4 linked regions of the Schizosaccharomyces pombe genome follow. The protein of the gene in region 1 interacts with the protein of each later gene in a biochemical or structural test. Each region holds a gene or a part of one and is shown in the gene's direction. Other genes may lie near its edges.

Region 1 (6,382 bases):
AATCATTCCCTCTATCTATTGATTGTTTCATTCATTGTAACTAACAAATTCTATGATACTTCGCCTATCTGATTTACCATTATTCTCACTGTACTTTCTTAAAATGTTCCACTTTGGATGGTTTGGATTCTAAAAAAAGAACACTTGACTTTTCCTTTTTTTGCAAATCCGAATATTTTTAATTCTTGTCTTTTTACTTCTTTGCCCCCCTTTCACTTTCTTCTGCTCCTATCGTCTCCCCCTTTTTTTTTCCATACCTTTCGATATCTGAATCCTAACACAATTTCCTAATGTTCAAGAAAAAAGAATATTCGTTGATATATAAAACAACTTTAATTATCATTCTTTAAGTCATTTCATGTTTATTATTTTAATTTTAGCTTCTCTTTTGAATGCTTAGAGGCACTTTTTTTCCTTCCCTGTTAATTTTTTGCATTCCTTTTCTCTCTTCTCTTTTTCTATTTACCTTTTAACACTAGCACTGCTTTATCCCATGCAACCCTTAAATGTTCGAATCGATAGATAATAGAAGAATCATGTAAAGACTAAAAGGTGATTTTTCTCCCTTTTTTTTTTTTTTTTTTTTTTAAACGACTTTTATTGTATTGTCATTTTGCAAAGTGAAACCAATTTTATTTCTATTGACCCACCACTACTTTTACTAAAACAACAATAACATTAATTCCACAATTTTTTTTTTTTTACCATCTCCTTTAAATCAAAATCCAGGCTAAACCATTCACACCACCTCTTTTCATCTCTTCGTTTTCCTTCCGCTTTTTTGTCTCCGTCGCTAACGGGATCTCTCATTTGTTTACTGGTTATTCCTTCATTCATCAACATCACACTGTCTTTCTTTCCACCACTCACCATGCCAAGTGCCTGAATTCATCTGAACCGTTTCTGTTTTTTGCATGTTATTTTAGGGATCGTATTTCCATATCTTTTCTTTCTCATTTATTTCCAATTTTACATCTTTCCTTTGATTATTTACTTTATATATATGGACAGATCGACATACTAACGTGCACTTACCGCTTCTAGTTAGTCTCCAGTGTGTGACCTTTTCGTCATTACTTTGGTACATTTCCCTTCCATCGGAAAAGTAAGCTACTTCCATTCTTATTCATATTTCTTGTCTTTTCCCCATTTTTTTTTCTTTTGTAGCAGCGAAGAAGAAAAAGGGACATTCATTAAAACCATCTCCTTCAAAAACTCGTAGTTTCGGCTCATCCACTCGTTTCCTGTTTCTGTTTACATTTTTTTCACCACCAACTCTCACTACTTCTCGCTGCTCTGATCCCAAAACTACCTTACACTACACTACACTACGCTGTACTATACATATTTAGCTAGGAGAAAGCAATATCACTAACCAACGAATTACGATTTTTTGCCCAGTTTCGGTATAATACTTCCTCCTTCAACCCGGCCTTCCGACGTGATTTTCGCATTCTCTCCTTATTTATGAAAAATAGTTTCCCCTCCCTTTTAATCAGCTGTTAAGCGTCCTTATCTGCTTCTTTCTTTATAGGCTTTAGACGTTCAATTTGCTGAAAATTTTGTGGTTCCGTTTCTTTGTTTTCCTTCCGTGTTTGCTAACCTTTTTTCGTTGTTTTTGGCTTCTTCTAGGGAACGTCTCGGCTCAGTGCTCCACAATAAGCTATCGCTTAATTTCACTCACTCAGCTTTAAAGGAATACTGGAGTGGAACGCATACCCTAATACCGGATTGGACACTTTAAGGCTATAGCGGCTTTGAACCCCCCCTTTGTACTAGTAAAAGTAGGTGGGTGCAATATCTTCGTCGTAACCTCAACATACCACTTTACTTATTAATAGACATAATTCGTTGAAGCAAACGAGAGCTTTTTTGCTCTCTTGCCTTTGTTTTCTTCTTATTTATTTTTAATTTATTAAACATTTCTCTTTTTTTGACGTTTCTCCTTCGTTTTGACAATATTACGAGCATTGGCTCAATTTCTTCTCTTTTGTTGAGGTGGTAGGCCTTCAGAATATCGGTTGGAATTTTCTTTTTCATTTTGTTTTCTCCCTTTTCTTTATTCCATTTACAACTGTGCATTACGCTTTACCTACGAAATCCTAGTTGCTTCGCACTTCCCTCGTTTATCGATTGTTCGTTCGTACATCTGTTCCGTTTGCATTCCAATTCAATTTAATTAAATCAAAAATTTCATATCTATTTTTTTGTTAAATTGCCACATTTTCCATACAGAAAACATGAGCTCTTCTTCTAATACCAGCAGTCATAGATCTTATGGCTTACGGCGGTCCCAACGCTCCATGAATCTAAATCGTGCTACTTTGCTCGCTCCTCCAACTCCATCGAGCCTGTATGATGCTAACAATTCTACTTCATCTACCTCTTCGCAAAAGCCAAATACCTCTTTCACTAGCTTATTCGGTCCTCGCAAACAGACCACTTCCTCCCCTTCCTTCTCTCATGCCGCCCCTCTTCACCCTCTTTCTCCTCCTTCTTTTACACATTCACAACCCCAGATACAGGCACAACCTGTACCTCGGCGGCCTTCCCTTTTTGATAGACCCAATCTGGTATCACGCTCTTCCTCTCGGTTAGGTGATTCTCCATCTCTTTCTCCTGTTGCCCAGGTGGCTAATCCCATCCACCATACTGCCCCTTCACCCTCAGACGTTCGTGCGTTTCCCATTCATAAAAATGCATCTACTGGTGTAAAACGAAGTTTCTTTTCTTCCTCCATGTCAAACGGTGCAATGTCCCCTCCTTCCCACTCTCCATCTCCCTTCCTTCAAAGCTCTCAACACATACCTCCTTCTACTCCTGCTCAGAAGCTGCGAAAGAAAAACAATTTTGATTCTTTTCGTATCTCAAATTCCCACATCTCTCCATTTGCATCGGGCTCCTTCTCTCCTTTTGCAACTTCATCGCCTAATTTTTTATCGACTTCCACACCCGCTCCTCCTAATTCAAATAATGCTAATCCTTCTACCCTTTTTTCGTCCATACCATCCTCTCGACACACTACCTCTAATCATTTCCCTTCTAACTCCGCTCAATCCTCTTTGTTTTCTCCTACCGCTCGTCCACTTACTGCACGCAAGCTTGGGTTTGCCTCCAGCCAAACTAAGTCTGCCGTATCTAACAACCATTCACGAAATAGCTCTAAGGATGCATCATTTATGATGAAAAGTTTCATCCCTTCTAATCGCTCACATCCTCAAACCCAACAAAATGAATCTTCCCTCTTTTCTGATAACAGTATGGTTAACTCCTCTTCTAATTCATTCTCCCTTTTCCCCAATGCTACTCTACCTAACCCACCCTCATCTGAGTTGTTAACTACTCCCTTTCAACAAATCAAACCTCCTTCCCAAGTTTTTATGAGTACAGGTCTTTTATCCAAGCAACATCGTCCGCGAAAGAATATTAACTTTACACCTCTCCCTCCTAGTACTCCTTCAAAACCCTCTACCTTTGTTCGTCCACATTCTTCCTCCACAGATTCGCCTCCATCACCCTCGACTCCTTCCAATACACAAACCGACTCTTATTTTATTCAACGGGAAAACACTCCTACAAATCACAATTCCATTCCTACTATTCAGTTGGAGAAAAGTTCCATGGACTTTTTGAGGTTCGATCCTCCTCCTTCTGCTGTAAAAACTTCTCACAACTATGGATTACCATTTCTATCTAATCAGAGGTGTCCCGCTACGCCTACTCGTAACCCATTTGCGTTTGAAAATACTGTTTCCATTCACATGGACGGTCGGCAACCTTCGCCTATCAAATCGAGAAATAATAATCAAATGTCATTTGCCATGGAGGAAGAAGCTGATGTATCTCAACCCTCTTCTTCAAGCTTTACATTATCCTTTCCTTCTGCTCTCACCTCGTCCAAAGTATCATCATCTACTTCACATTTGCTTACACGGTTTAGAAATGTTACTTTACTAGGAAGTGGAGAGTTTAGTGAGGTTTTTCAAGTTGAAGACCCTGTGGAAAAAACTTTAAAGTATGCAGTGAAAAAGCTCAAGGTAAAGTTTAGTGGACCAAAAGAACGTAATCGACTACTTCAGGAAGTCTCTATTCAACGAGCCCTTAAAGGCCATGATCACATTGTAGAGCTTATGGACTCATGGGAACATGGGGGGTTTCTTTATATGCAAGTCGAATTGTGTGAAAATGGTAGTTTGGATCGTTTTCTTGAAGAGCAAGGACAACTTTCAAGGCTCGATGAATTTAGGGTATGGAAAATATTAGTAGAAGTAGCTCTTGGGCTACAGTTTATTCATCATAAAAATTATGTTCATTTGGATTTAAAGCCTGCTAATGTTATGATAACATTCGAGGGTACCTTGAAGATTGGTGATTTTGGAATGGCCAGTGTTTGGCCTGTTCCGAGAGGCATGGAAAGAGAAGGTGATTGTGAATACATTGCGCCTGAGGTTCTTGCTAACCATTTGTATGATAAACCTGCTGATATTTTCAGTTTGGGTATCACAGTCTTCGAAGCTGCTGCTAACATTGTTCTTCCTGATAACGGTCAGTCTTGGCAGAAATTACGTTCCGGTGACTTATCAGATGCTCCTCGACTTTCTTCAACAGACAACGGTTCATCTCTTACTTCTTCTTCTCGTGAAACACCGGCTAATAGTATAATAGGCCAAGGGGGACTTGATCGCGTTGTAGAGTGGATGCTATCTCCAGAGCCTAGGAACCGACCTACCATAGATCAAATTTTGGCAACTGATGAGGTTTGCTGGGTTGAAATGCGTAGAAAAGCCGGAGCCATAATTTATGAAGGTATTCATGGATCTTCTTCTAACCCCCAGGGTGATCAAATGATGGAAGATTGGCAGGTGAATGTTTAAACCTTTTAGAGACTCTTGTTCTCAATGTTTATTACTGCGAAATTGCGAAATAAGGGAATGGCTTCCAAAATCTGTTTAGCTTCATAAAAGCAAACACTTTAATTATTTTTAAACGAAAAGTTTAGTGATTGGTGCTTATAATTAATTTTGGTTCATTAAATGCTTTTTTTTTATTTAAGGATACGTGTCCGTTTTAACCGAACCCTTAAATTTTAAAAAATTTTAAAAAATTATTAGATGATAGTTTTTCTATTTAATTTTTTGCCTTTTCACCGGATTATCTATTTGGTTTTCTTCAGTCAAATATCCGGTTAATTATATCTGAGGCAATATGATGATGGCTATGGAAACATGCCATTCAGTTCTTGATATGGGGAACTAGAATGTTTCCTTAATTTAAAGCCTTGACGCCGCACATACTGTACGTGCTTTGTCTACTGAAAAAATGTTAGTGAACGATTGTTTTTTATATCGCAAATCCTTTCTCTAACATGTAGACTCGGCTTCAGAGGAGTTATTATTCCTATTTTTCATCTATTTTATTGTCTAATTTCTTATGTCACTCGTTTGTTATCGACTTGATATGTTGCATTTACTCATCTTTGCTAGCATAAAGTTCGAATCCCGACTGTTTATCCACTTTTTTTTGACTTCTGTTTTCATAATAATTTAGATCGATCGATGACACTGCCTATTATTCTTGTACATAGTTTACGATCTTGCTGAATGGCAAATAATTGGTTATGTTTATGGAAAATGCCACGATTTACTAACGAAGTTTAATAACCCGTTAGATTTTTTATTATTATCATATCATATAATAATTAGTAATAATGTTAACGTTATGCTTAGTTCCACTTCTGTAATTTTTAATTTCCCTTTTTTTTTATGCTTGTGAAAGCTGTGTATATGCTCAAGTTTGTGATGCCTTCAAATTAGTATAGGATTTTAATGACCCGTTTAACACTTCATATCTAAATAAACATTTATTTTGAAACAGAAAAGTTAGAAAATTCAGGTATCATCACGTTTTCATTTATCAGACACAAGCATAAGCTATAAACTATTTAACGAGTGTCTCATTATTTCACTAAACACCTTCAAACATTGAAATATTACTTTGACAACAGCACGGGAGAAAAATGCTTGGGAGACGAATATTTTCTCCAGCTCCAAACAGAGGATTTATTTTATGCAATCTCATACAATCTAATAACTCTACGCGAAGAGGGTTTTCGGACAATCGAAAATTTAATGAGAGAAATTCTGAAGCATCTTCAAATGTAGGATTTCAGAGAAGAGTTCGCTCAAATATTCCATCATATTTATCAGCCTCCGTAGAAGAAGGTGATATTTACTCTCCCAATGATTTACTGTTTGAAACGGTAAAGGCGAAAAATCAAGCCAAATTCTATGAACCAGTAAGAGAAGATTGCTTTAAGACGGTGAACGAAAACCCTATGAATTATTGGAAAAACCCCGTAATATTGTCAAGATTCGTTACTGAA
Region 2 (5,435 bases), on another chromosome or scaffold:
CGGGGGTATAGAAATTACGAAACATCTTGAAAAAACGTCAACGAATGCATCAACAAGATCTTAGCATGTTTCGGATATGTCATGGTAAAGTTCGATTGCTTTGTGCATCTCCGTTAGCAGCTGCATCAAGCGAGTATCCAACGATGATCATCTCGATTCGTTTTGTGTGTTCATGAAACCCACGCCTTGCGTATGAAGTTGCCCACTTTGTATGACAATGAGATAATCTTACACTGCAATAAGGCCATATACCCGTAGTTGTTGGTACGACCACTCACATTCCAAAGTCCAACTCAATAGTGAAGAAATTCATCATTGGCAACAAGTCATCAACACTTCGTTGCTGTTGGACACTTCTACCAAACGTTCTTTATTGACAACTTTGAACGGCTTCGGCTGCATTCCCGAGCCCTGTAACGCCTATCTTTCATGTGGCTCGGAATGTAAACCAGAAACTCAGACAAATACCGCTGTTGGATCGCACTGATGATATTTGTTTATCGAGGCTGTGTTCATTTTTCTTAGTCATTTTAGCGTAACGAACTGACACCGAAAAATATCAAGCAATCAAGTAGATCCATCTGTCCAAGCACCAACCACATCTTTGCTCGATAATCAAACTTGGATTACCGATAGTTAAAGGTGAAGGATCGGTTTTGCTGGTTTCATTCGATTTTCCAAACATCGTCGATTCAGTAGACTGGGGTTGAGTCAGTATCCAAGCCATTCTTGCGCTCAATTGATAATTATGGTAGGTTACCCAAATGTTGTATGCCAACTGTATTACTTACCCGTGGTTATATTTTGAAAACAGCGAAACTGTGTAAACAATTTCTGTTTGTTTCTCAATTGTTTGTGGCGTACACGTATTGCAGCTCTCAAGTTGCTATAGTATATTTTTATTGTCTAATAAAAATTTAATGAATTTATTTAGTTGAAATATTTGCAGTAAGAATGTTCATGTTGATATACCATGTAAAAAAGTCACATAAAGTTGAGCAAGCTGAAAAAGAATAAGTTTTCGCCTCCAAATATAAAAATTTCAATTAAATTGTAGAAAATTATAGATTCTTTATAATATCGTAATTTCTTAAGCGGGGCCTATAGTCTTTCATCAACTTTTCACGACAGTCGTTGTTATTCATACCATAGGATGAAGACGATTTCAAACATCCAATATTCGCTTATAATGATGAAATGAACTTCAGTAACCCGTTCAATACATTCATTATATACTGAGATTTCATCTATTATTGAAGCAAGTTTCAATGTTTGGCATGAAGCCGGCTCTAACACTTGTCAGATTTCAAGTACCTGTTTTCATTATTTTTTTTGCTCAAATTTTCAAAAAAAGTGTAATGGCATGTGTTATCAGATATGGTATGCATCATGTCCCTGGTTATCCCCGAAGTAGAACGGGTTCTTGACCGTGCTACCAAGTCGTGTTACTTTTCGATGAAAAACTGGAATTCCCTGCTAAAACTACACGAGTAAAACAAGAAAAAATATTCATCTATTGCAATAACTTGCTCCTAGATTGCCAAAACGAGTACTACGTAAACAAATGTGAAAGAAGCAGAAAAGACTGCTAAAGTTGCTTTTAACGAAAATGTAAATAAGAGAAGAAAAGACAACTTTAACGGTTCGATTTTACTACAATATGAATATTAATTAAACTTCATAAAGCGAAACTGAAAAACTAAATAAAATTTGCTCTACAGCTATAAATCAGCTGTTAATATTCAAGTTTTTATCAAGACAGCACTATGAGCCTGAGATTACCACCCTCAAGGACTAGAAACCAAGTAGTGGATTGCTTCCGTTCCTTAAGTCATCCTATCGTGATCCGCCGAAATAATCGTAAGCCTTCAATACACTCTTCATATGTTCCCTGATCAAGTCCAAGTAGTGCCCCACCCTTCCCTACTCTTGAACACTTATATCCGCTCCTCCAGCATTCATGTTGTCCTCTGCCAAACTTATCTTGGCCAATTCCGTCTTTTGGACTACTCTGCATAAGAACTCAGCATTGTTTTCGATTTTAGGAATTGCTGGGATCCTGTTTGTATTAATATTGTAGATCGATATTTTGAAACATCTGTAGGCCTTCTATATAGTGGGTTGTTCTACATATTATTTATTTATTCATTCATCTTTCTTTGTTTTACTTACTGTTCTCCATATTTTTATCTGATTATACAGGGTTTGAATTAAAATCCGTTAGTTTATTTTATTCTACCTTTTTCAACTATTTGACCGCCCCAATATTTCCATTTTTACTTTCTCCTTTCTTGTTTCTTCTCTCTTTTAATTTATGAAAGTTCAATCCTTATTCGAATATCATTAACTTAACCTTTATTGGATTTATACATCACGAATCTTATACACTTTACATACTTTCTTTATTTTACGCTCCCCTTCGTTTCTTTTTCTTTGTCTTTACCTTTTTTTATTGCTGTTACTCAAAACGTCTTGTAACTTACATTTGTTATTTGTGTTCTTGTGCTACTTCCCATTTTTTTTTCAAGGTCCGTCTATTTCCGTTCCACGTTTCACTTTTCTGTTCTACAATACACTCAGAAAAGTGCTTTAGGTTATTTATGAGGCACTCTTATTTTATTAATTCGTTTCCAGTATCTATTTTGTGATCACACCCTATTTTGTATCGTGGTGTCATTCACTTTTTCCTTTACTTATTCCAAATTTCATGCTACTTTTTCGACATTTATTCTACTTTTCATCATAAGTATTTCAGATTTTCTGAAGTTGCTATTATTCAGTCTGCAATTTTACTTTTGGAAAGCCTTTTCCCTTAATAAAAGGTTAGATTTGAATGGTGAAGCGACACAAAAATACTATTGGCGTATGGCGTCTTGGGAAGACTTTAGGGACTGGTTCCACTAGCTGTGTGCGTCTTGCCAAGCATGCTAAAACTGGTGATTTGGCTGCCATCAAAATTATCCCTATTCGATATGCCTCCATAGGAATGGAAATCTTAATGATGCGTTTGTTGCGCCATCCTAATATTCTTCGACTATACGATGTTTGGACCGATCATCAGCATATGTACTTAGCACTCGAGTACGTCCCTGATGGTGAGCTTTTTCACTATATACGCAAACATGGACCTTTGAGCGAAAGAGAGGCTGCGCATTATCTTTCCCAAATTCTTGATGCTGTAGCGCATTGTCATCGCTTTCGCTTTCGCCATCGGGATTTAAAACTTGAGAATATTCTCATCAAGGTAAATGAGCAACAAATTAAAATAGCTGATTTTGGCATGGCCACTGTTGAACCAAATGACTCTTGTCTTGAGAATTATTGCGGCTCTTTACATTATTTGGCTCCCGAAATTGTATCTCACAAACCATATCGTGGAGCTCCTGCTGATGTTTGGTCTTGTGGTGTCATCTTGTATTCATTGTTGTCGAATAAGCTCCCCTTTGGTGGTCAAAACACAGATGTTATTTATAATAAGATTCGCCATGGCGCATATGATCTTCCTTCTTCAATTTCTTCGGCTGCGCAAGATTTGTTACACAGAATGCTAGATGTAAATCCAAGCACGCGTATAACAATTCCGGAAGTTTTTTCTCATCCATTTCTAATGGGCTGTACATCATTGAGCTCTATGGATAGCACTACCCCTCCTACCCCTTCACTGTCAATTGACGAAATTGATCCATTAGTAGTTGATTGCATGTGTGTGCTTTGGAAAAAATCATCCTCTAAAAAAGTCGTTCGTCGTCTTCAACAGCGAGATGATAACGACGAAAAATATGTGTATAAAGTTTTATCCGAGATTTTGCGCGATGATATGTTGAAAAAACAACGTTTTGATGAAAATAAATATCTCAGTCTTTACGATTTAATTCACGACAATAATCTTTTCACCAAAGCTTCTATTTCAACAACATCGTTAGTAAAATCCAATGTTTCGACAAACTCTCGCAAAAGTAGTAATTTTGAAGATGAACTTGCTAGAAGAGTTTCTAGTCCGCTTTCAGCCTTAAATCAAATGTCTCAATCTCCAATACCGATCAGGGTGTCTTCTGACAAGGATTATGACAGCTATGCCTGTCATGAAGTAGTTTCAAACCCATCGACTTTGGATGATGACTATAATTATATGTTTGTTTGTCCACCAGAAGAGTATACTTATTCAACTGATAATGTTAGAACTGATTCTCTGGACTTACAATCTCTCCCCACTCCTACCCTTGAGCAATTAGAATCCGTACCATTCAATCGGTATGGCTATGTCCGCATCTTTCCTAGCACCACTCTGTCTAGCACAGCCAGTGGCTACTACACTCCTGATTCACTTTCAACTCCTGAACCATCAATAGATGGGCTAACCAATTTGGACGATGTCCAGGTTGGAGGCTTTGTTCAAGGATCAGGCAATCAAAATAGACGTCCCATATCTTTTCCTGTAATCAGTAATATGCAGCCGAACATAACTAATGTGAGATCTGCTTCTGCTCCTTTATGTTCATCTCCAGTTCCAAGTCGGAGATATTCTCAATATGCTACTAATGCAAGATATACTCCCAGAAAAGTTTCTTCCGGTTCTGTATTACGAAAGATTTCTTCATTCTTTCGGAAGGATTAAATAGGAATTTTTTCAAAAACACAGTCTTCTTCCTCAAAATCAACCATTAATGTCTATACTGTGGGCGGCTATTCAAATGTTAAGATCTGTTTATAATTTAATGAGGATGATAATTATTTTTTTTGGATCTCCCGTCGTGTGTACCTGTACCTTTCTACGAATTTAATGATCTTTTTTGGCAATTGGACCTTTGAGTCTATTAGCAATTTAATGGTTTTAGGGTTTTACGTTATATATCTGTTAATGATTTGGGCACACTAGTTTATATATGTAACTAATGAATATCTTCTATTACAATCGCTTTCCAGAAATCAGTAGTCTGTATAAAGTAAAATTTTGTTGTGAACATTAGTTTTATATGAAATTTGGGTGTTTTTATGTAATAACGTCTGTTGGTTTTTGAAAATTGTCGAATATTCCGGAGTGTTTAGTAATAAAATTGAGGTTTAAGAGTTATCGCAATAAATAAAATATGAAGAAATAATTCCTATAAACGTTTACCTCTTTAGAAAGTTTTTATACACTGTCTACGTTTATATATTAGGTATGTTGTACGGTGTATATCTTGACTAAATGTAAACAAACGCGACGCGCCGTCAACCGCAACGTGTCGCGTAACTTCAAATTTATATGCAACGCCAGTATCTATTGCAAACACTCATTCCCAATCAAGAATTCTATTGTCTGTGAAATTACACAGTTTTATAGTTTAAACATGAGTTTTTTCGTTCAAAAACTTTCTGAAAAAGCAACCATTCCTACTAAAGGCTCTGCAAATTCTGCTGGATATGATTTGTACGCGGCTGCTGAATGTATAGTT
Region 3 (4,434 bases), on another chromosome or scaffold:
CAGCGTGGTGATTCAATTTTTATTCTAAGCTTTATAAAGTTTTGTTCGGCGGTTTTCAAAGTAATGTTTAAGAGTGATGAACTTATCCGCTTCTTCACTTCTTTGAGACTTTCAATTACCTGTATAATATCTGTAGATTTGTAGAAACAGCTAAGTATCGCTATATGAATATTGATTACTTACATTGCTCAAGTAGTTTCGTTATAATGTAATGTAATAGATAACAAATTTAAAAAAAAACTGCCTATAAGAATCACTGTATAGCTGAATATTAGTTTAAGAAATTAAGCATACTAGTGGCACCTTTCACCACGAATAGCTCCATGACTGCTGCTAGCATCAAACTTCTCCAACCTTCTTATCGATCTTAACCACTATAATTATCTCACCATCATACGCGGAATTTCATTTATTTGATCAATTGCTTTTTCATTTGCAAAAGGCCAACTATCTAGAAGTATTCTTTCTCTTTCCATTTGTTGTTACCATTACTTCTTGCGTACAGAGCAGATAGAAGTATTAGAATTCATTTATTTTTTGTTAACTGTCTTTTTTACCAAAAAAATTATTTTTTAAGATATTCCCTTCATTCCAAACTTTTCTCTCAATTTATACTCAACATATTTCTTAAATTCCATTATGGCTTATCAAACTCGTGAAGGTCTCCCTAATGGCTGGGTCGCTCAGTGGGATGAACGCTACAAGTGTTACTTTTATGTTAATGAAAGTGATCCCAAAGCAAAGCCGCAATGGGAATGTCCGGTCCGTGGTTTAACTATTCCACCACCTCCTTCGGTGGACCACTCTGCTCCCCCAAGTGGACCGCCTCCTTCTTATTCCAACTCAGCCGCTCCTGCCACTCCTGCCGCTTCTGCTTCTTCTGCTGCTCCTGCTCCTGCTCCCGCAGCTTCCCAAAACAGAGCATACGGGGCCGCTCCACAGCCTTATCCCCCTCAGGGCGGTTATCCTCAACAACCATATTATTATCCCAATCAACCAAATTATTACCCAGCCCAGCCTGCCTACGCACAACCCGTATATGCCCAGCCTGCTACTTCTGCAAGAAGAGGTCGTAGCGGAGTCTTGTCTAATCCCATGGTGACTGGTTTGGGCGGACTTCTTGTCGGTGGTTTGGCTATGCATGAAATGGACGAAGCTTTTGATCGTCCTGAAGAAGTTGTTTATGTAGATGATAATAACTACAACAATTTTGATGATTATGGAGGTAATGACTTTGGCAATGATTTCTTTTAAGGGAATTTCATGCATCGATTATGTTATTGAGTTCAACTGCATTATTGACAAGTGTTTCTCGCAAGAAAAATTACATTAGATGAACGATTAATACATATTTTACTGCAGAAATATAAGATCATTCATTTTACACCTGTGTGTACACGGGGATAGTTCATTAGTGTGGTTAACTCGAAAGTCTTCGTCGTAAATGAATATTGACTTATTCAATGCTGTTCCCTAGTAATAGTTATTATTTATATTAACTTTTTTTTACCTTTTCTCCTTCGCAATGCTTTTTATCTATCTGGATTTTTTTTATGACTCTGTAACTTCTGACATACACACGGATTCTGCTTGTTTTTATAAGTGTGATATTTATTTATTTATTTTTCTTTTAAATAAAAAAAAATGTTTTGTTTTCTTTGCGAGCAGGTGGAGAAGTCTTTGACAGTTTTTACAATTTCACATTTATCTTAAAGGGTTAGTCTATAAATATTAGACAACTCAGGATAATCCAACCTACCGTAAATTTATTTATTTAATAATAGCACTTTTTTGACTGATATTCACATTTACAATTTTTTAATTCACGGTTATACAATGTCTTCAGATGATGTTTTGATTATGTAGTTCTTCATATCTGATCACCTAGTATAAATTGCAAGTAATGAGTTATGTCCTACTTTTCTAATTTCATTTTTGATAACAGTATAATTCATAAGTTAGAAACATGAAGCGCTAGCCCTAAGTTCGGTTTGATAATAGTCCTCTGCGTTTCCACTAGTCTATCGCTAGTTGAGCAAGCTTACCCACAGCACAACACAACATAAGCAAATTTGTATAAACGTATTTTGAGATCATTCTCGCATCTCTATTAACAGATATTAGAAAAATTATTTTCCAAAAAACATACCGCTAGGTTGCTTCTTTTAGTGGTTTGCAATGGAGAATTATCAAAAAGTCGAAAAAATTGGGGAAGGTAGGTGTAACTGAGGAAGCTATGACTTATCCAATTTCTTTTCTGTCACGTATACTGACTAATGCTAGGAACCTATGGCGTTGTTTATAAAGCAAGACATAAATTGTCAGGGCGTATTGTGGCCATGAAAAAAATTCGCCTTGAAGATGAATCTGAGGGAGTTCCTAGCACAGCTATTCGTGAAATTTCGCTTCTTAAAGAAGTGAATGATGAGAATAATCGATCAAATTGTGTTCGGTAAGTTTTTACTTGACGGATGCATGGGAAATGTTTACATTGATAAAACTTTGTTTCTAACCCTTTTTTAAGACTTTTGGATATTTTACATGCTGAATCAAAGTTGTATCTTGTTTTTGAGTTTTTAGACATGGATTTGAAAAAATACATGGACCGAATTTCAGAAACTGGGGCCACTAGTTTAGATCCGAGACTTGTTCAAAAGTTTACCTACCAGCTAGTGAACGGTGTAAATTTTTGCCATTCTAGAAGAATCATTCATCGCGATTTAAAACCACAAAATTTGTTGATAGACAAAGAAGGCAATTTGAAGCTAGCAGATTTTGGACTTGCGAGGTCATTTGGTGTCCCTTTGCGGAACTATACGCATGAGGTATATTTTTTTTCTTACTTGGCTGTATGACTTTATTCCCAAAAAATTTGGAATATTGACTGACGGTCTTTCAGCATTAATTTGTGTCGCTAACCGTTTAGATTGTCACTTTATGGTATCGTGCTCCTGAAGTATTGTTGGGATCAAGACATTATTCCACTGGGGTTGATATTTGGAGCGTTGGATGTATTTTTGCTGAAATGATTCGACGAAGTCCATTATTTCCCGGTGACTCTGAGATCGACGAAATTTTTAAAATTTTTCAAGTTTTAGGTACCCCAAACGAAGAAGTATGGCCTGGAGTCACGCTTTTGCAAGATTACAAATCCACATTTCCTCGTTGGAAACGCATGGATTTGCATAAAGTTGTTCCCAATGGTGAAGAGGACGCTATTGAATTACTCTCTGTAAGATTTTGCATTACCATCTATTTAAGACTAATTACTAACCATTTTGTCAAGGCTATGCTTGTTTATGACCCTGCCCATCGCATTAGTGCAAAACGAGCTTTGCAACAAAATTATCTTCGTGATTTTCATTAATTTTCGTCTCTTATTATTAAACCTTTAAAAACGCTATCCTTGACTTTATCTGTACTTTGCTGTGTTTCTTGATATCAGTTATTAACAAATTACCTCAATTTATAAACCGAAAATATTTATTTTCCTCCTTCTTTTTCGAATCTTGGCGTTTGTTCAAAACATACTCAAACAATGGGCAATTTACAGGGCATATAAAAAACACTGACATATTGAGCTTGCCATTAAATGTGAATTTAGTAACGTTTTTAGTTCTGTTCCCTTTACTGTGTCTTTATTGTAAATATCACTTTAAATGCTTTCTTTGACTGTCAAGGGAATTATCGCCGTTCTTTTTACAAAAGCAGGCTCTGAGTGTTTAAATCTATTTTTCTTTCATTCCTGATAAAACTGAAGCCTTTTAATCTCCCTTTTTCTTACTTACTCTTATCCTTTGTTTTCCAGTTTTTTAATCCTCATTTATACTATATTCTATTTACATATTTTTTATACTTAAGTATTAAAAAAGGTGTATATTCTTTAGACTTTAGTTTTTAGTGTTCGTGTTTGCTCTGAACATATAAACTGCACTTACTTAGATGTATTTAGTATCAAAGAGGTGAATTAATTTTACGAGCAAACGGTAAAAGAACGTAAATGTGCTTATTGTTCAACAGACATACGTGTTTATTAAATTTTACAAGATGAAAGTGATATGAATATTTGTATTTCACACTATATTGAACGCTAAGCGAGCATCATTTACAGCTTAAGTCTATACCTAGAGCGTTTGGAAAAATTCAAAATTAATAAATCGTATAAACAAGAAGTAAAACTAAACAGCGCAGGAGAAACCACTAGATGCATGGATACATACTAACGATTGAACCTGGCAAAGTGTAATTGGACAGAATGAAACGAGACATATTGGAAATATAACGTCTAAAGATGAAACGCAGGACAAATTTGTTTGGAGGCTTGAGAGGAATGAAAAGGGAGCAAATACATGGAGGGAAGAGCATTTCCATTAAACTGCGCATGCACATTTTACTTTCCATGCTTTAATCATAGAAAAAGGTAACCAATTAAAT
Region 4 (3,695 bases), on another chromosome or scaffold:
ACGCTTTCCATTTAATAATGTGATTATGGTGTATGATTTCAATGCCAGAGCAGGATTTAAGTTAATAACAATATTAAGAAACGAATGCTGAGGGGCCAAGGTAATCACTGAAACTTCCGTAGAATTTAAGCTTGGGCAAGGCAAATACATACGAAGGGGATTCGGCAATGGTAATTGTGGAGGACTGCAAATAAATGCAGAAAGAATGCAACGTTCAGTATTAGGTATGTCTTCAAAAAATTTGGGTTCTGGAAAATTTGGCATATTAAAAGTACTACGACCCATCACCGATTTATGAGAGAAATTTAAAAAATCCGGAACAGGAGTTGAAGGAAACGATTTAATAAGGGCAAATGCTCCGTAATTAGCTTGAGATAATGTATCCATGGGTGATGGAACATCTTCGGGTATGGGAGTTTGGTCCTTTTCAGATTCTTTTGAGAAACTTTCAACATGAGCCTCCTCTGACTTCAAAACATCTGGAGTGGCTGCCTGATCACTGGTTATAAAAGATGGGGCGACTGAAGTAGAACGTTCGCGTGAAGTTGAAGCAGATACAGAAGGAGTTGGAGATGCGGGGGTTTCCTCGGGTTCATGCTTTGAAGTTGCAGGAGAGTGTTCCTTAGGTTGTTCGGAAAATGAAGAAATAAGGGAAGATGAAAGTTGAGAAAGCTTTTCAGCATCTTCATAGACAAAACTTCCGGGGGCGTTATACGTTTTGGCGTTAATAAACATTTGATTTAAGTCTTTTACAAAGCTTTCCAAAGTCGTATACTCTCCCTTTTTAAACCTTTTTTCCAACATTTTTATAGTCATAGGGGATTTGATAATTTCATAGTAATCCGGGTACAAACGTTTGCTAGGAAGGTCTATAAATATATCAATTAAAAAACGACCTTGTTCATCCTTTTCTTCATGTAAGGCATCTAAGATATTTTGAATAACCTTTGGAACATCAATCTCATTAGTGCCAGGTTTGTGTTCCTCGTTGATGCTTGACTCCATTTCCTCATTCTCTTCCTCATTCAAAGTTCCATCCTTGCTTTCTAATGAATTAGCAGTATTTGCAATAAGCACAGAACATTCATAGACGAGGCTTCCAGGCATATTGTAAGTCTGCGCATTGCTAACCATAAGCCGAATATCATCGTAAAAGTCACCCATTGACAGATATTTACCAGTCTTCGCCTTGTTGCGCATCATCTTGTAGCAAATCGGCTTTTGAATGATTTGATAGTAATCTGGAAAATATCGTTTGGAAGGAAGTTCTTCAAAAATGTCATCAAATGGATTACCTCTATTTTAAATAAATTATTAGTAAATGGACATGCGACACCTAACTCCTTTCAATACATACTCGTTGTCCTTTAAACCCACCAATGCTTCTAAAACTTCATCAAACTTGGTCTTATCGAATGGGGCATTATGACTATCATCAACCTATAAATATTAGTATGTTGTAACAAAACACGGGACATGAGAATATACCATTTTAAATAATTTATTATATTGCAACGTTTATGTACAATGAATAGAGTATATCAACTTTAATTAGGTCCGCTTGCGACTGTATATTCCAAAATAATACACAATTTTTCGAATTACAATAAGAAACCGTTCACTTTATAAACTGAATTTTGGGAATTATTATATAGACCAAAAAGGCTTTGAAAAAGAAATAGCTAGCGCAAAAAACCTGTTTTCTGCAACCGATAACTTTCGTTTTAGGTATAGAGTGTTGAGTTGAAGCCCAAAGTTGTGTGTTACCTAAAGTGAGTACTGTTACTTTAAGTCTAAAACGAAATTTAGCGACCTTTAACGGATCACCCAAGTCCTAGAGTATCCTATACTTTACCCATCTCAAAGAAAAGTTATTCTTTTTGAGTATTAAGGAGGAGATATGTCGAAAAGTGGTGTGCCACGTCTTTTAACTGCTTCTGAGCGTGAACGTCTAGAGCCATTCATTGATCAAATCCATTATTCTCCTAGGTATGATGATATTGTTAAAGAAACTGCCATACTTTGGGAATTCTCTAGGTTCTTTGTTTTCCCCTAAAACGAGACTCTTGTATCTTATTTGAGCAAATGCTAATCGATGAAATAGATATGCTGATGATGAATATGAATATCGACATGTTATGTTACCAAAAGCAATGCTAAAAGCGATACCCACCGATTATTTCAATCCAGAGACTGGAACGCTTCGAATCCTTCAAGAAGAAGAATGGAGAGGACTTGGAATTACTCAAGTAAGTAATCAAGGATTTTAACTGCTCAAAAACAAACTGACATTTATTTAGAGTCTGGGATGGGAAATGTATGAAGTCCATGTCCCAGAGCCACACATCCTGCTATTTAAGCGTGAAAAAGATTATCAAATGAAATTTAGTCAACAACGGGGTGGTTAAGTTTGTCAACTCCAACGTTTCTGTTTTACTTTATCAAAAAAATATTAGTTCATGGATGCGAAACATATTGACTTTTTAGGCATTCAATACGCTGCTTTTTTTTATCAAGCTCACTGAGTGTTTCATGTGGGAGTCGCTAAAAATGATAATGAATTATCTTCGCCATTTATGTTTGCTACAGACTAACAACATATTTGGGCAATTCCTACTTTTTTTTCACTGTAGATATACTTTACTGGTTCTTTTTATTTTCTTTCAAAATCATCTTTCTATTTTCTTTTATCTTTATTTTTTATCGTTTATCGTTTAATATAGAATCTCTGTCTTTTCATTCACGTTAGCATAGAGTTTGATCAACCACAAACTAGTTTTTTACATTCCTCCTTTAGAAGTTTAAAGCACTCCTACTGGTTCCTGCTCACCTTCAAACCATTCCGTCTCAAAGACGATTGATTCCTAGATGTTTGCAATTGATGAATCCCTATCGGTTAAGTCAGACTTTACAATGCACATTTTTCTCTAAAAAATGTGAAAACGTACGTTATCATTAAGTGATATTTTGTATATTAGGCTAGAACATTTTGCGTTTCATGCCACTGATTCAGTTGCCTTTTATTCAAAAATGTTGTCAAACTTTACAAAATTTTAGTAAGAAACTCACTTATAGTACTTAACAAAAATTTCCGAAAAAAACTTACTTTTATTTATAAATTCCGTAGTTATGTAGTTTAACATTACCTTTGTTCAAACTAGCTGTGATTAGCTTGTTTAAAATCTTCATATACTTATAATAACAACGTAAAAAATGTCTCATGACTCCATTTGTTTACAATCAGCGAAGATAATCAATACATTTTTGCAATGCCAAGTGTTTTATTAAGAAAAACATGGAGATACATCTGTAGTAATTGTGACTCATATTTCCAACTGTTAATCTATTGCGTCAGGTGCTTCCATTCTTTAATTTCCACATGTATTACTCAATTTAGTTCTAAAACAATACAATACTAGGACTCCTCTGTCATCTTAACAAATTTGCTTGATCAGCCCATATTAGCTATCACAAATGGCTACTCAGTTAAGTTGCGCACACTTACATGCTTTACAAAAACCTCTTCAACATTCTCTACATGAAAAATACTTACGATAAAAAGATGGACGTAAATTTATTAAGAACAAAAGGTAAGCTTAATCTGAACGTTTTCAATGAATTACGGTTCAAATGGTATAAAGGTAAAAAGTTAAGCTAAATAGACAAGAAATATCGTTGACTTCAGCGCTTATATT

The links.
Region 2: of the proteins of wee1 (region 1) and cdr1, one has a biochemical effect on the other in vitro, tested with the Schizosaccharomyces pombe proteins (2 studies listed by BioGRID).
Region 3: of the proteins of wee1 (region 1) and cdc2, one has a biochemical effect on the other in vitro, tested with the Schizosaccharomyces pombe proteins (3 studies listed by BioGRID).
Region 4: the proteins of wee1 (region 1) and suc1 form a complex in vitro, tested with the Schizosaccharomyces pombe proteins (one study listed by BioGRID).

The regions. Positions count from the first base shown.
Region 1 is NC_003421.2:719,994-726,375, forward strand, and holds wee1 (protein kinase Wee1), read left to right. Parts: upstream 1-1,810; 5' UTR 1,811-2,240; coding exon 2,241-4,874; 3' UTR 4,875-5,842; downstream 5,843-6,382. Other genes in the region: rsm18 (mitochondrial 37S ribosomal protein bS18m), read left to right, coding at 6,017-6,382. UniProt on the Schizosaccharomyces pombe protein: Protein kinase that acts both on serines and on tyrosines. It acts as a dosage-dependent negative regulator of entry into mitosis (G2 to M transition). Phosphorylates and inhibits cdc2.
Region 2 is NC_003424.3:2,678,945-2,684,379, reverse strand, and holds cdr1 (serine/threonine protein kinase (NIM1 family) Cdr1/Nim1), read left to right. Parts: upstream 1-1,972; 5' UTR 1,973-2,833; coding exon 2,834-4,615; 3' UTR 4,616-4,912; downstream 4,913-5,435. Other genes in the region: dut1 (deoxyuridine 5'-triphosphate nucleotidohydrolase), read left to right, coding at 5,331-5,435. UniProt on the Schizosaccharomyces pombe protein: This protein, a dose-dependent mitotic inducer, appears to function as a negative regulator of mitosis inhibitor wee1 by phosphorylating and inactivating it.
Region 3 is NC_003423.3:1,498,162-1,502,595, forward strand, and holds cdc2 (cyclin-dependent protein kinase Cdk1/Cdc2), read left to right. Parts: upstream 1-2,046; 5' UTR 2,047-2,082; exon of another isoform or gene 2,083-2,124; 5' UTR 2,125-2,178; coding exon 2,179-2,215; exon of another isoform or gene 2,216-2,283; coding exon 2,284-2,452; exon of another isoform or gene 2,453-2,524; coding exon 2,525-2,825; intron 2,826-2,926; coding exon 2,927-3,232; intron 3,233-3,286; coding exon 3,287-3,367; 3' UTR 3,368-3,934; downstream 3,935-4,434. Other genes in the region: protein wwm1, read left to right, coding at 640-1,254.
Region 4 is NC_003423.3:1,086,984-1,090,678, reverse strand, and holds suc1 (cyclin-dependent protein kinase regulatory subunit Suc1), read left to right. Parts: upstream 1-1,846; 5' UTR 1,847-1,900; coding exon 1,901-1,989; exon of another isoform or gene 1,990-2,104; coding exon 2,105-2,249; intron 2,250-2,300; coding exon 2,301-2,408; 3' UTR 2,409-3,141; downstream 3,142-3,695. Other genes in the region: RSC complex bromodomain subunit Rsc4, read right to left, coding at 1-1,297, 1,358-1,440, 1,489-1,491.